2 linked regions of the Arabidopsis thaliana genome follow. The protein of the gene in region 1 purifies or fractionates together with the protein of each later gene. This does not show direct contact. Each region holds a gene or a part of one and is shown on either strand. Other genes may lie near its edges.

Region 1 (6,858 bases):
TGGTTACCAAACTCAAGCTTCCTTTTTTGGCAGAGAAATTCAGCAGCATACTCGAGGTACTCTACAAGTACTTTCATTTCTTATATTTTGCACAAAAGAGAAGAAAAATTAGATACAGACGTAATGCTAATTTTTTGGTTCTTCACTAACAGGAAAGGTTGCTTGAAGAAGCTAGCGAGGCGGCGGTAACAAATCCTGCGCTGAATCCAAACGGAGAAGTAGTTACAAGAGTTGAATCCAAGGTCCAGAATCCTCCAGCTTCGATTCAGACTAGTGAAAACACAGAAGCAGTTATGAAATCTTCTGCAACTAAGCTATCTGCTCCTACACTTCTAAAGAAATCGAAAGTTTCAGAAGGTCTAAAGCTGGGAAAAGAACAAACAAAGAAAGACAAAAGTGACGATGCGAAGATAAAAGAGATAAAGAAATTGAATTTGAAGAATCCGGTGAACAATGTTAACAAGGAAGACAAGGGACAGGAAAAGGAAGTGAATCAAGGAGAAGCTCGACGTTCTTCAAACCCGTTCCTCAAATCAACTGTTTAATGATCTTATTTGGAGGTTTTGTTTTATTTAACAAGATTATGATGAATACATCTGTTTCACTTTATTAAATATTATGATGCTATAGCTGAATGATTACACAAACTTATGATACAGGATTAGTTTATATTACAATACAACAAGCTGTTAAAGAATCATCATCAAAGGCATGGTGAAACAGAAACTTGAACTGGAAAAATTCAGCAATCAGCCACCTGTTGAAGCTTTCTCGTTCTTCATGATCATATGGAAGGATTTGACTTTGTCTTCCTCCACGATTTCTCTAAGAACATCGTCCTCAATCTTCTCAGCTTGCCATTGAGATGGGTCCTCCACAAATTCTTCACTGAAAATCATACTGGAGACCCATTCTTTCCAGGTCGTCCTCCTGTATTTGTCTTCTTCAAGTGTTCCTCTCGACAAGAGCTGGTAAACGTACACCACTTTCTGCTGTCCCGGTCTGAATGCACGTGCGATTGCTTGCTTTGTCTTAGAAGGATTCCACTCTGAATCAAGCATGATCACCCGTGAAGCAGCGGTTAGACTGATGCCTTCTGCACAGGCTGTAATCGAAGCCAGCAGAACACGGGACTGGCCTCCTGGCTCTTCAAATTTGTCTATTACTCTGCCTCTTTCAAACAGCTCGAGATCCCCTGTCAAGGTCAGGAGCTCTCGGCCTCTCTTCCACCTGAATACATTCTCGAACAGCTCAAGAAACAGGCGGATCGGCGCAATGTTGTGACAAAATATGAGGATTTTCTCCCTCTTGACCACCCGGAACACAAGATTAAGCACAAACATGACTTTTGATCCTTTCTTTGCATCGTGCTTGAGCTTCTCAATCTCTAAAAGCTCCTGAGGGTTGAAGAATTTGGCGCAACAGGTTGTGGTTTTGACCAACCAAGGATGGATAGCAGCTAACGTTATGAGTAACTCGAGCTCGAGTGGATATCCATGGTAAGTTGACATTATGTTCTGAAGTTTGGTAAGACTCTTGTGCTGTACATCAGTGGAATTCATCAACAATGTGTAAATCTGCAAACCTGGGAGAACATCACCACTTCCGCTTCCACTCCCTTCATAGTTATCGATGAAACCACTCGTCATATTCCTCAACATGTTGAGACCCTGCAAGCGCTCATCGCCCACTTTTGTGTCAATCTTCTTGGCTATAATGTCAAGGAAGAACTTCCGAGCTCTATTTTCAAGCAAGTGAGGCGCCTTTTGCTCGGCTTGGTTGGTCTGGAACTTCTTGTCCAACTCCACTAGAACCTCATGAACAAACTTGGGTCTAGCCAAGCACAAAGTGTTGAAGTACTCACAGAAGTTGTTCTGAAACAATGTACCAGAAAGCAGAATCCTCAAGTCAGTATCAACTTTCATCAAGGCCTTTCGTAATCTCGACTTGGTACTCCTCGGGTTATGTCCCTCGTCTAGAACCAGTAATCCAGGAGACTCTCTCAGTACTTTAGCCATGTACTTTCTATGAGCAAACTTTGAATCTTCCCTCATCAAAGTTAGAAACGATGTGTAACCCATTACAAGAACACTCGGCTGTGCATGCCATTTCTGGATTTTGTCTAAACAGTCAAGAACATGCATAACATCTTGGCTTGGTTTTGGAATTCCCTCGAACTGAATGGTCTTCTCTTTGGACATACAGTAGGTTCTACGACCATGGAGCAAGTGAACAGGGACCGGAATCTCCCATTTGATGAACTCCTTGTACCAAGTGTACAAAGTTGTTTTTGGAGCAAGAACCAAAGGTCTTTTACCCGGAAATATCTTCAAGTAGCTCGCGAGAAAAGCTATGATTAGAAATGTTTTTCCTGCTCCGGGAGTATGAGAAACTACACACCCACCTATCTTATCTGAACTCGGATCCATCATCGCGGGAACCACTGACCCGGCTAGGTTCTTCCAGAGAAACTCAAAAGCTTTTTTCTGGTGCAAATGCAGTTTTCTCTTAAGCTGAGGTATTAAAGACCAGACATTGTCACTTTCTTCAGCCGATGGCATATCTGAGGAAGCAACTGGTATAGTGAAAGTATGGCTCTCAACTCCATCTTGGTTAACTATAGTAGTATTAATGTCATCTTCGTTGATTTGCTTAGTCTCCGTCGTCCATTTCTTGTGCCGCGCCTATCGAAAACCATACCACCAAAATATATTACAAGTAACTCATCGAAAGTAGGTGACAAAATGTTGTCTGGTATAGAGTTTCCACTTACAAAAGGTGCAGAAACATGTTTTATCTCAGTTCCTACATGACCACACAATCTGCAACACATTCCGATTTCTTCATTCAATTCATAGTCATGTTCACAATCACAGGTTGCTTTATGGAACGCCTCGTTATCCACTCTCACCTGAAACTTCAAATCAAACTATTAAACATATAAAAATGTAAGCTCATGGTCATCAAGAATGTTTTCAGGAAAATATAAAAAGATTTCCAAAAGGTATATATATATATAACCTCATGGTCATCAAGAATGTAAGAAGAAGCCAAGCATAGTTCCATTTCCCTCCATAGAATCTCATTCTCTGAAGTCTCGCCATCATCCTCCTCCTCCTCACTCAACCTTTCTTCGGCTTCGATCGAAAAGCTTGCGGGGTTCTTTAACCCTTGCCACTGCTCAACAACATTGGTTGCTTTGTCCTTGGCTGCAATTGTAGAATCAATTCTACTCATGTACGAGTCTATCAACTTGTTATACGCACCTGCGCTCAACGTTCTCTTCTTATAAATCTGCGGTTCCTCAGAAACTCCGGTTTCCCTAGAAACGGACCTTATTCGAGAATGCGGTCCATTTCTTTTATGAACCACATTCCCAATAGGTCCATTCCAACCTAGATCAGATTCCATCTCTTCCATTTCAATCTTCTTCTTCTTCTTCTTCCCGTATTTCGCTGCTTTACTACGATACTTATCGATCTCATCCATCAAATTTCCAGAGACACCACCACACAAACTATTTGCATTGAGACCAAACTGTTCCAACGGTATAGGTTCAAAGACAGGAGTGAAAGGAATAACCGAAAGCTCACAACTTCGACTAAATCCCTCTGTTTTCTTTCTCTTCTTCCTCTCAGTTTTGTCTACCAAAACTATCTCTCTCTGCTTATCCTTACTAAATCCCTTTTTGCTTCCTTTCTTTCTAAGTAAATGCGATAACGGTAAGTATAAATCATCATCAGTATCTTTATCATCCTCGCAATCTTCTTCTTCATCATCATCATCACTTGAAACATTCCATATGTTGTACCTATATGGCATCATCCTTACCCATCCATCCTTCGAATCCGGCTGAATCTCAGAGTCTCCGTATCTCTCAGGCCGCCCGCTTCTTCTCTTGGACCGACGCAGCTCCATTACCTCCTCTTCAATCTCCTCCTTTACATCACTATCTTGACAAGTATCCTCAGCTGGATTGAACAAAACAACCTTAGACATGACAACACCGTCTTCAACCGTAATGTTCATTGCACTCAAAGAGCTACTAGAGCCTTCGCAATCTTCATCCGTCACAATCTGATAAACCATCTTCTCGTGAACGGTTCTAATCTGAAACACAATGTTTTTCAAAACTGATGTAACAAGCAACCATGTAAGATCAGGCAAGAACTTCCCTAAGTTTAGTCTTGTTTTCACCAACGAAGAACAGTCCTCAGAGTATCTCCATCTATAGTAACGGTCCAAGCTTTGTTCCTTGCAAAACTTTTGAAGGATGGCGATTTCGTTGAGTCCCACGAGTACCGGAACTTTATTCATTCTATGCTTCTCCAAACCAATGCAGCCTTGGTCTATATAAACACTGACATGGAACGTACACAAGCATTCAGATTCATGAGGCTTCCTCTCTATAGATAAAACCCTTGCATCCACCCAAACCTACACCACCACACACACACACACACACAAAACGTTTCAAAACAGCAAAAATGCGCATAGATTTAAAGACTTTCATATTGAAGAAAGTGAATGTACTGGTTCTGGAGTCTCTTCATCTCTCTGATAAAGAACGCAAACATCGATACCGGGTCTTAAAAAAGAAGTACAGTCGATCAAAGTCGCCTTTCTTGATCTAATTCGAAGCCTCTGAAATGGTTTTATATCATCCAAAACTTGTCCATTTTCTAAGAGACGCATTGTCATCGTTCCATTCTCGATCCTTAAGTACTCCACGGCCTTCCATGTCCCCCAGCAGAACACCTCGAAAGCTACCACAACAGACAAAACAGAGCATTTTAGGTAAAGAAACAGCAGTCATTCAAATCTCAATGCATGACATTTTAGGTAAGAAAATAAAACATCAGATCTTGTAAAACACTTACGACATGGATTAAATGGATGGTTAAACTCAAAGTAATGCTTTCTCTTCATTTTTTTCTTTCCCTTCAAGATCACTTGTGGATCCACATATGATCTCCTGTAACCAATACATGTATAGCTTCATTAGGATTCATTCACCACTTGACAAATAAAAAAAAGATTCAAACTTTATCTGCAACTAGAGACAACCCAGAACATATATGATATATGAACTTTAAAACTTGATCATATTGGTTAATGTGCGAAAGCAACATTATTGTACTAAAAAGGTGTAAAACAGAGTAACAGTGTCGTATCAAAATGAAAAACGAAACATGATCGTCATCAACAACAAACAAAACCCAGATTGAAAAAACCACAACTTTATGATCAGAACACAAAATCAATATATCACCTTTGAGGGAAAAAGAGAGTTGATTCTAGTCCATGATTGACACTAAGAGGAAAATAAGAGAAGGAACAAAATATGATAAATAGAAAAGGGACGGCGAAGAATTCAATACCACACTCACGCAGAATCTTGGGGACAGTGTAGAACTTTTTATTTTCCCTTTTTGCATGAATTTGCGCAGAATCGATAAAAAGTGATAGAGAGAAATAAAGAGAGACTGAAAAATAAAGTGAGAGAAGAGGAGGGTTTAAGGAGTGAGGGTATTATTGTCATTTCCATGTACGTACTTCTTTATATGGGAAATAAACGGCTGCGATTTGGTCTGTCTTTACTATCTTTAGATTTTACTGACACAAAGAGTAAAAGCCAAGTTGTGTGCATGGTGGCCTATTGGGTCCACATTGAGATAGGTTTATAGGGAAAATATCTTACACAAATTCATGAACTTAACATTTAGTTTGCACAAAACAAAAACATTTACTTAGTTTGTTTTTTAATTATTATACTAAAATTAGTAAAAGATGAGTTTTTAATATGGTTTTGATATCAAAAAAGAAACTTTTATTTTTATTTCAAGATTCTAAAAGAAAATATCATTTAATATTTTAAAAAGTAGTTAAGGGTAACGGTGAATTGCTGTATTTTCTTTACTCCATTTCTAATTTTTTTTCTCTTTAGTTTTTTATTTTTCTGTTTAATATGTTGGAAGATCAAATATCTAGTTTTCTTTAGTAGATTTCTCTATTTTTGTTTATATTATTTTTCTATTTTATTTCTGACTCTTTTTTTAATTGTTGTATCCCTTACAAAGTTAATGCAAAACTGTTTTTTTTTCCATTAAATCAAACAAACACTAAAATATATAACATTTGGAAATGTAAATGATAGAGTTATTGTAAATCGTTGGATATGTAATGCTTTTGAACAAGGTCTATGTGAGCTTTATCTTATGCATAAAATATGAGTTGTTACCAGAATCTGCCTTAGTCACAAGCTAGGGAAGCATGTGTTTACGGTATAAGATATAGTTATTAATTAACCGTCATCTATTTTCCAAATATCTCTTATAACTATACTGGTTAATCGTTGGGTGATAGAACAATAGGTAGTAGGTTCAACTCTTACACTTACAAAAATGTTTTTTTTTTGATATGATTAGGCCTTTTTTGCTGGTGGCACTCAAAATGTTTTGGGTGGCTATGAATGTTCCATGATTTGATATGGATAGTAAAATATATAATGTTTAATAGAAAACTTTACTTAAATATCTTTTTCTCTTTTTAGCTTTAGCAACAGCTCTCACTAGAATCGAAAAGAAAATTATAAAATTTAGAGAATATATAGAAACTAACCTAAGACTCGAAAAGAATCAACGAAATAACCTTTGACTAAATGGACACTATTTGCTATATGTTTTTTTAAGGGTTTTTGGTTCATCTTATCCTTTTATTATCTTCTTCTTTTTTTTTCTTGTTTGTCTGCAACATTATAGTCATTCTCTCTCTAGATATCTTTTTCTTTTACTGAATCTCATCACCACCACATTCCTTTTTTCCTATCTTCCTCTCGTTGGATATGTGATTCCATCA
Region 2 (4,883 bases), on another chromosome or scaffold:
ACTACCCCAAATGTTTACAGTTTATAAGGTTAATAAGAAAATTTACTGGGACATTTTTAAGTCTAGTTTATTCTACTACATGTTTTTCAAAACAAATACTCATTTTGTTTTAATTTAATTATCATTTTAGCACTTAAATTTAATCTCACAATAATTATCGTTTTTAGTTTTTTAATGCAAATGTTTAATAAAAATGTGAGTATTAATGTCTTGACCAATAATTTTTTTAGAAACTATATTGAACAAGGGTAAAGTAGAAAATTTAATTGTTTTTTTTTATTTTCACTGCAAAAAATCTTAAACGACAAATAATTTTAAACAAAACTATTTTAATAACTAACCACTAAACTAACTATATAACTGTTTTACAAACGAAAGCGTGAACTTCACGTAAACAAAAATTCAATTTCACGCCGCCGACAAAAAACCTTAAACGACAACTAATTTTAAATAGAAGGAGTATATTTTAGTAATAATTATATGTTAAACTGTTTTAATAAATAACCACTAAACTAACTATGTAACTGTTTTACAAACGAAAGCGTGAACTTCACGTAAACAAGAATCTAATTTCACGTCGCCGACAAGAAAAACTGATTTCACTTATATATCTTGATTTATTAATGGACATTCACATACTCTCAAATAAGATTCTAGATCTTATAAATTTTAATCTATTTTTGTCTCAATTAATTTAGTTATTTATCACATTTCGCCTCTTATAAAATTATATGATAATTGTCTAAGCAGCTAACTAATTGTAATTGTTTTTCAAACAAAAAATATATTTTAATTACACATAATTTTTTTATCGAACAAAAATATATTTTAACGAAATATAAATGTTTCGAATCAAAGATAACAAATTTATAGCCTCAACTATACGTAAAACAAAATTTTATTTTACATATCATACTTTGATTGATACTAACACAAACTTCACAAATAAATTCGTATAATTATGTAATTTTAGATTATTTAGAGATTATAACTAGTATTTAGAAAAATCGCAAAATCATATAAGAAAAGAAATGGAATTTGTTTTTGGTTCAAATTATATTTTTTTTTCCCGCTATTCATATTATAGTTATGAACCAAAAATCAAGCTAGAAATAAAAACCACTAGGATTTTTTTTTTTTGCTAAGATGAAAATTTAGTTATACACTTATTTTTATTTATTTAAATATTACATTAAACTAATAAAAAGTATTAATTATTCTAATAACTTTTTGTCAGTTTTAAAATTAGGCCAAAAGTAAAAAACTAATACAGCTAATATAATATACTTAAGGAAGGATATTTCAACTTTTTCTTTTCTTCCCAGTTTCAGAGTTTATACAAATAAGGTAAAATTCGCAGAAACAGAAAATCATAAAGTAATTAAAATAATACAACCGAGGAAGTAAAAAGATTTCCAAAAGGTAAAAGGTGTACTCGTAAAGTAGGTAAATAGAGGTACAGGTCAAGGGGTAGTTTCGGTATTTACACTCTTTCTTCTTCTTTTTTTTTTTTTTTTGGTGTCTCACATTCCAAAGTCCCCATTGGACTTAGAGAAGAGTTTTTTTTTCGTTTTCTCTGCTTTCTCACTTTTTCCCGTTTCCTTTGGGAATACAAACGGCGGCTTCTCAAAAGCCTCCGATTTCGATTTTTTTTTCCTCTCTTTTTTTTTGTTCTTTCTTTAGAGTCTCTTCTTCAACTTCTTCTCCGGCATCTTCCGTCGGAGCTAAGGATCAGAAGTTTTTGTCTGTGCACTGTTTCAATTGGATCATTACATAGTGAGGATTCTCTGTTCGACGAAACGAGTAAGTAACTACATTGTTGTTCTTCCTCAATTCTCTTCTGGTTTTTCTTTCGTTTTTTTTTTTAAAACCTTTTTCGGTAATTTTCTTTTTATCTCTTTGAAACAATTTGAGTTCTTTTTTTTTTTGATTGATCACTGTGTCTGATTCCTTATCACGGTTCTTTTGTTTAAATTTGATCGATCGTTGTCTTTGAACTCCGATTTTGTTTCTATGAACTTTGTTTACTTTGGATGATTGTGAAAAGTTAAGTACTTTGGTTTATGCATGTTCTTATGAGAAATCGATTTCTTTCGTTTAGAGATCATCTTAAGGCGGCGAATGTTTTTGCACTAAGGGTTTGTGTGAGTCCTTTAGAAGAACATTTGGAAAATTTGTCCTTTTTTTTTTTTGGTCAGTGAATTTTTTTTTTTTTAATCCATGAATAGTGTATGTTCAAAGATTGAACCTTTTTGTGTGTATGTTCTGCAGTTTTTTTTCTTTCTTCTTTTTCTGAACATGTATTCTCTTATTTTTTTGGGTTCATGCTAGATTCTATTAGTAAATTCAATTTCGAATCTATAACTTGTTTTTGATAGGCCAGTCACAGAGGAAGATTGTGGTAACACTTTTGTCCCTTAACAAAAGTGTCTGTTTCTCTTTGGTCAATTTTTTGATCAGAGAGAGTTTGCTTTGGTTTTTGTGTTCTGGTCAATGAAATGCTAAAGATTGGTTTTTGTTTCATATTCTGCTGCACATTAGATTTGATGATAGAGGGTACAGATAGAAACTGATCTTTTCGACGATTTATCCGTGAGTTTTAGCTCTGTTTTATGTTACAGAAGTAAGTGTTAATTTTCAATAATGTGTGTTCAAAGTTTGAACTATTTTGTGTGTTCGTCAAATATTTTTGAGCTAGAATCTTCTTCCCTGAACATGTTCTCTCTTTTCTTTGGATATATGCTAGATTCTAAGTGGCCACTCACAGAGATAGTTTGTGAAGTTGTCTGTTTCTCAGTGGTTAGTATTGGTCAGAGCGAGTTTTTTGGTTTTGTCTGTCTAAATGCTAAATATTGGTTTTGTTTCATATTCTGCACATTGGAATTGGTCACTAAAACTTGCTTATAAAAACTGATGTTTTTACTTACGTATCTAAATTTTCCTTACTGATGGTTTTTTTTCTTGTAGGAAACTCTTCAACATGGAAGACGATTGTGAGGAGCTTCAGGTTCCCGTGGGAACTCTAACCTCGATAGGTTTTAGCATTTCAAACAACAATGATCGAGTAAGTGTTGTCCTTATTTATTCTTCTTGATTTGTTTATGAGTAGATGGAGCAAATATTTAATGTAATGGTACTTTATTATAGGATAAAATGTCTGTGCTAGAGGTTGAAGCACCGAATCAGGTGACTGATTCTCGGCTAGGATTACCGAATCCGGATTCTGTCTGCAGAACCTGTGGCAGCAAAGATCGAAAAGTTTGCGAAGGTATCATAAAGAATCTGGTTTTGGCAAATATTGTTCCAATCTTTTAGCTCATTTTATGATTAGTTCCCTGAGTTTGCTACTTTTCTCTCTGTTTTAGGGCATTTCGGGGTTATAAACTTCGCGTACTCGATAATAAACCCGTATTTCCTCAAGGAGGTAGCTGCGTTGTTAAACAAAATCTGTCCGGGGTGTAAATACATTCGAAAAAAGCAGTTTCAGGTTCACTAGTCTTTCCAAATCCTTTGTTGGTTTGTGTGTTTTGGAACTACATATACTAATGTCATTTTTGCTTGATATAGATTACCGAAGACCAGCCTGAGAGATGTAGATACTGCACTGTAAGAATATATGATTGCAACTAATTTTCTCAGTTTAAAACTTTGTTCCAACACTAATTTTCGGTTTTTGTTGTTGTTATATATCAGTTGAATACCGGTTATCCTCTAATGAAGTTTAGGGTAACTACTAAAGAAGTCTTCAGGCGATCCGGAATCGTTGTTGAAGTAAACGAAGAGAGTCTGATGAAACTCAAGAAACGGGGAGTGTTAACATTGCCTCCTGACTATTGGAGTTTTTTGCCGCAAGACTCTAATATCGACGAGAGCTGTTTGAAACCAACAAGGCGAATAATAACGCATGCACAGGTATAGAAGAGTGAAATGTACCATCTCCATGACTTCTTACTATATATAGTTTTCTGAAAATTTCACCTTTTTGCAGGTTTATGCTCTGTTATTAGGGATTGATCAGAGGCTCATCAAGAAGGATATCCCTATGTTCAACTCTCTTGGTCTGACATCTTTTCCTGTTACACCAAATGGTTACCGTGTAACCGAAATAGTTCATCAGTTCAACGGAGCTCGGCTAATATTTGTAAGCTAAAAACGCTTGTTTATATAATTTGTTATCATATACTATGGTATTTCTCTTATCTTTTCGAGTTTCTGTCACATTTTTGAAGGATGAACGGACTCGGATCTACAAGAAACTAGTCGGCTTTGAGGGAAACACACTTGAATTGAGTTCTCGTGTGATGGAATGCATGCAATATTCCAGAGTAAGTTAGTGGTTCCTGATAGATTTAAACTCTTCTTTCTGTTCTGTGAAGGTTAGTAGTATTTCTTGTTTTTTGCACAGCTCTTTTCGGAAACTGTGTCTTCGAGTAAAGATTCCGCAAATCCGTACCAGAAGAAGTCTGATACACCAAAACTTTGCGGTCTAAGGTTCATGAAAGACGTGCTGCTCGGTAAAAGAAGTGATCATACATTCCGGACAGTAGTTGTTGGTGATCCGTCCTTGAAGCTCAACGAGATTGGCATACCCGAGAGTATCGCAAAAAGGCTTCAAGTATCAGAGCATCTCAACCAGTGCAATAAAGAAAGGCTTGTCACTTCCTTTGTCCCCACACTGTTGGACAATAAAGAGATGCATGTGAGAAGAGGAGATAGATTGGTGGCTATTCAAGTCAATGACCTCCAAACCGGAGACAAAATATTCCGGAGTTTAATGGATGGAGACACTGTGCTGATGAACAGACCGCCTTCGATTCATCAGCATTCGCTTATTGCAATGACAGTTAGAATCCTCCCAACGACTTCTGTTGTCTCCTTGAACC

What was found.
Region 2: the proteins of CHR38 (region 1) and NRPD1A purify together in Arabidopsis thaliana (affinity purification with mass spectrometry; 2 studies listed by BioGRID, with this or other methods). This does not show direct contact.

What each region holds. Positions count from the first base shown.
Region 1 is NC_003074.8:14,755,157-14,762,014, forward strand, and holds CHR38 (chromatin remodeling 38), read right to left. Parts: upstream 4,930-6,858; coding exon 4,881-4,929; intron 4,767-4,880; coding exon 4,534-4,766; intron 4,438-4,533; coding exon 3,022-4,437; intron 2,918-3,021; coding exon 2,774-2,917; intron 2,685-2,773; coding exon 750-2,684; 3' UTR 642-749; downstream 1-641. Other genes in the region: AT3G42660 (transducin family protein / WD-40 repeat family protein), read left to right, coding at 1-56, 153-545. UniProt on the Arabidopsis thaliana protein: Probable chromatin remodeling factor. Required for the initial establishment of DNA methylation and for accumulation of 24-nt siRNAs.
Region 2 is NC_003070.9:23,359,224-23,364,106, reverse strand, and holds the start of NRPD1A (nuclear RNA polymerase D1A), read left to right. Parts: upstream 1-1,619; 5' UTR 1,620-1,670; exon of another isoform or gene 1,671-1,803; intron 1,804-1,914; 5' UTR 1,915-1,959; intron 1,960-2,967; 5' UTR 2,968-2,980; coding exon 2,981-3,064; intron 3,065-3,147; coding exon 3,148-3,268; intron 3,269-3,365; coding exon 3,366-3,487; intron 3,488-3,567; coding exon 3,568-3,606; intron 3,607-3,693; coding exon 3,694-3,912; intron 3,913-3,988; coding exon 3,989-4,141; intron 4,142-4,229; coding exon 4,230-4,325; intron 4,326-4,375; exon of another isoform or gene 4,376-4,405; coding exon 4,406-4,883. UniProt on the Arabidopsis thaliana protein: DNA-dependent RNA polymerase catalyzes the transcription of DNA into RNA using the four ribonucleoside triphosphates as substrates. Largest and catalytic component of RNA polymerase IV which mediates 24-nt short-interfering RNAs (siRNA) accumulation.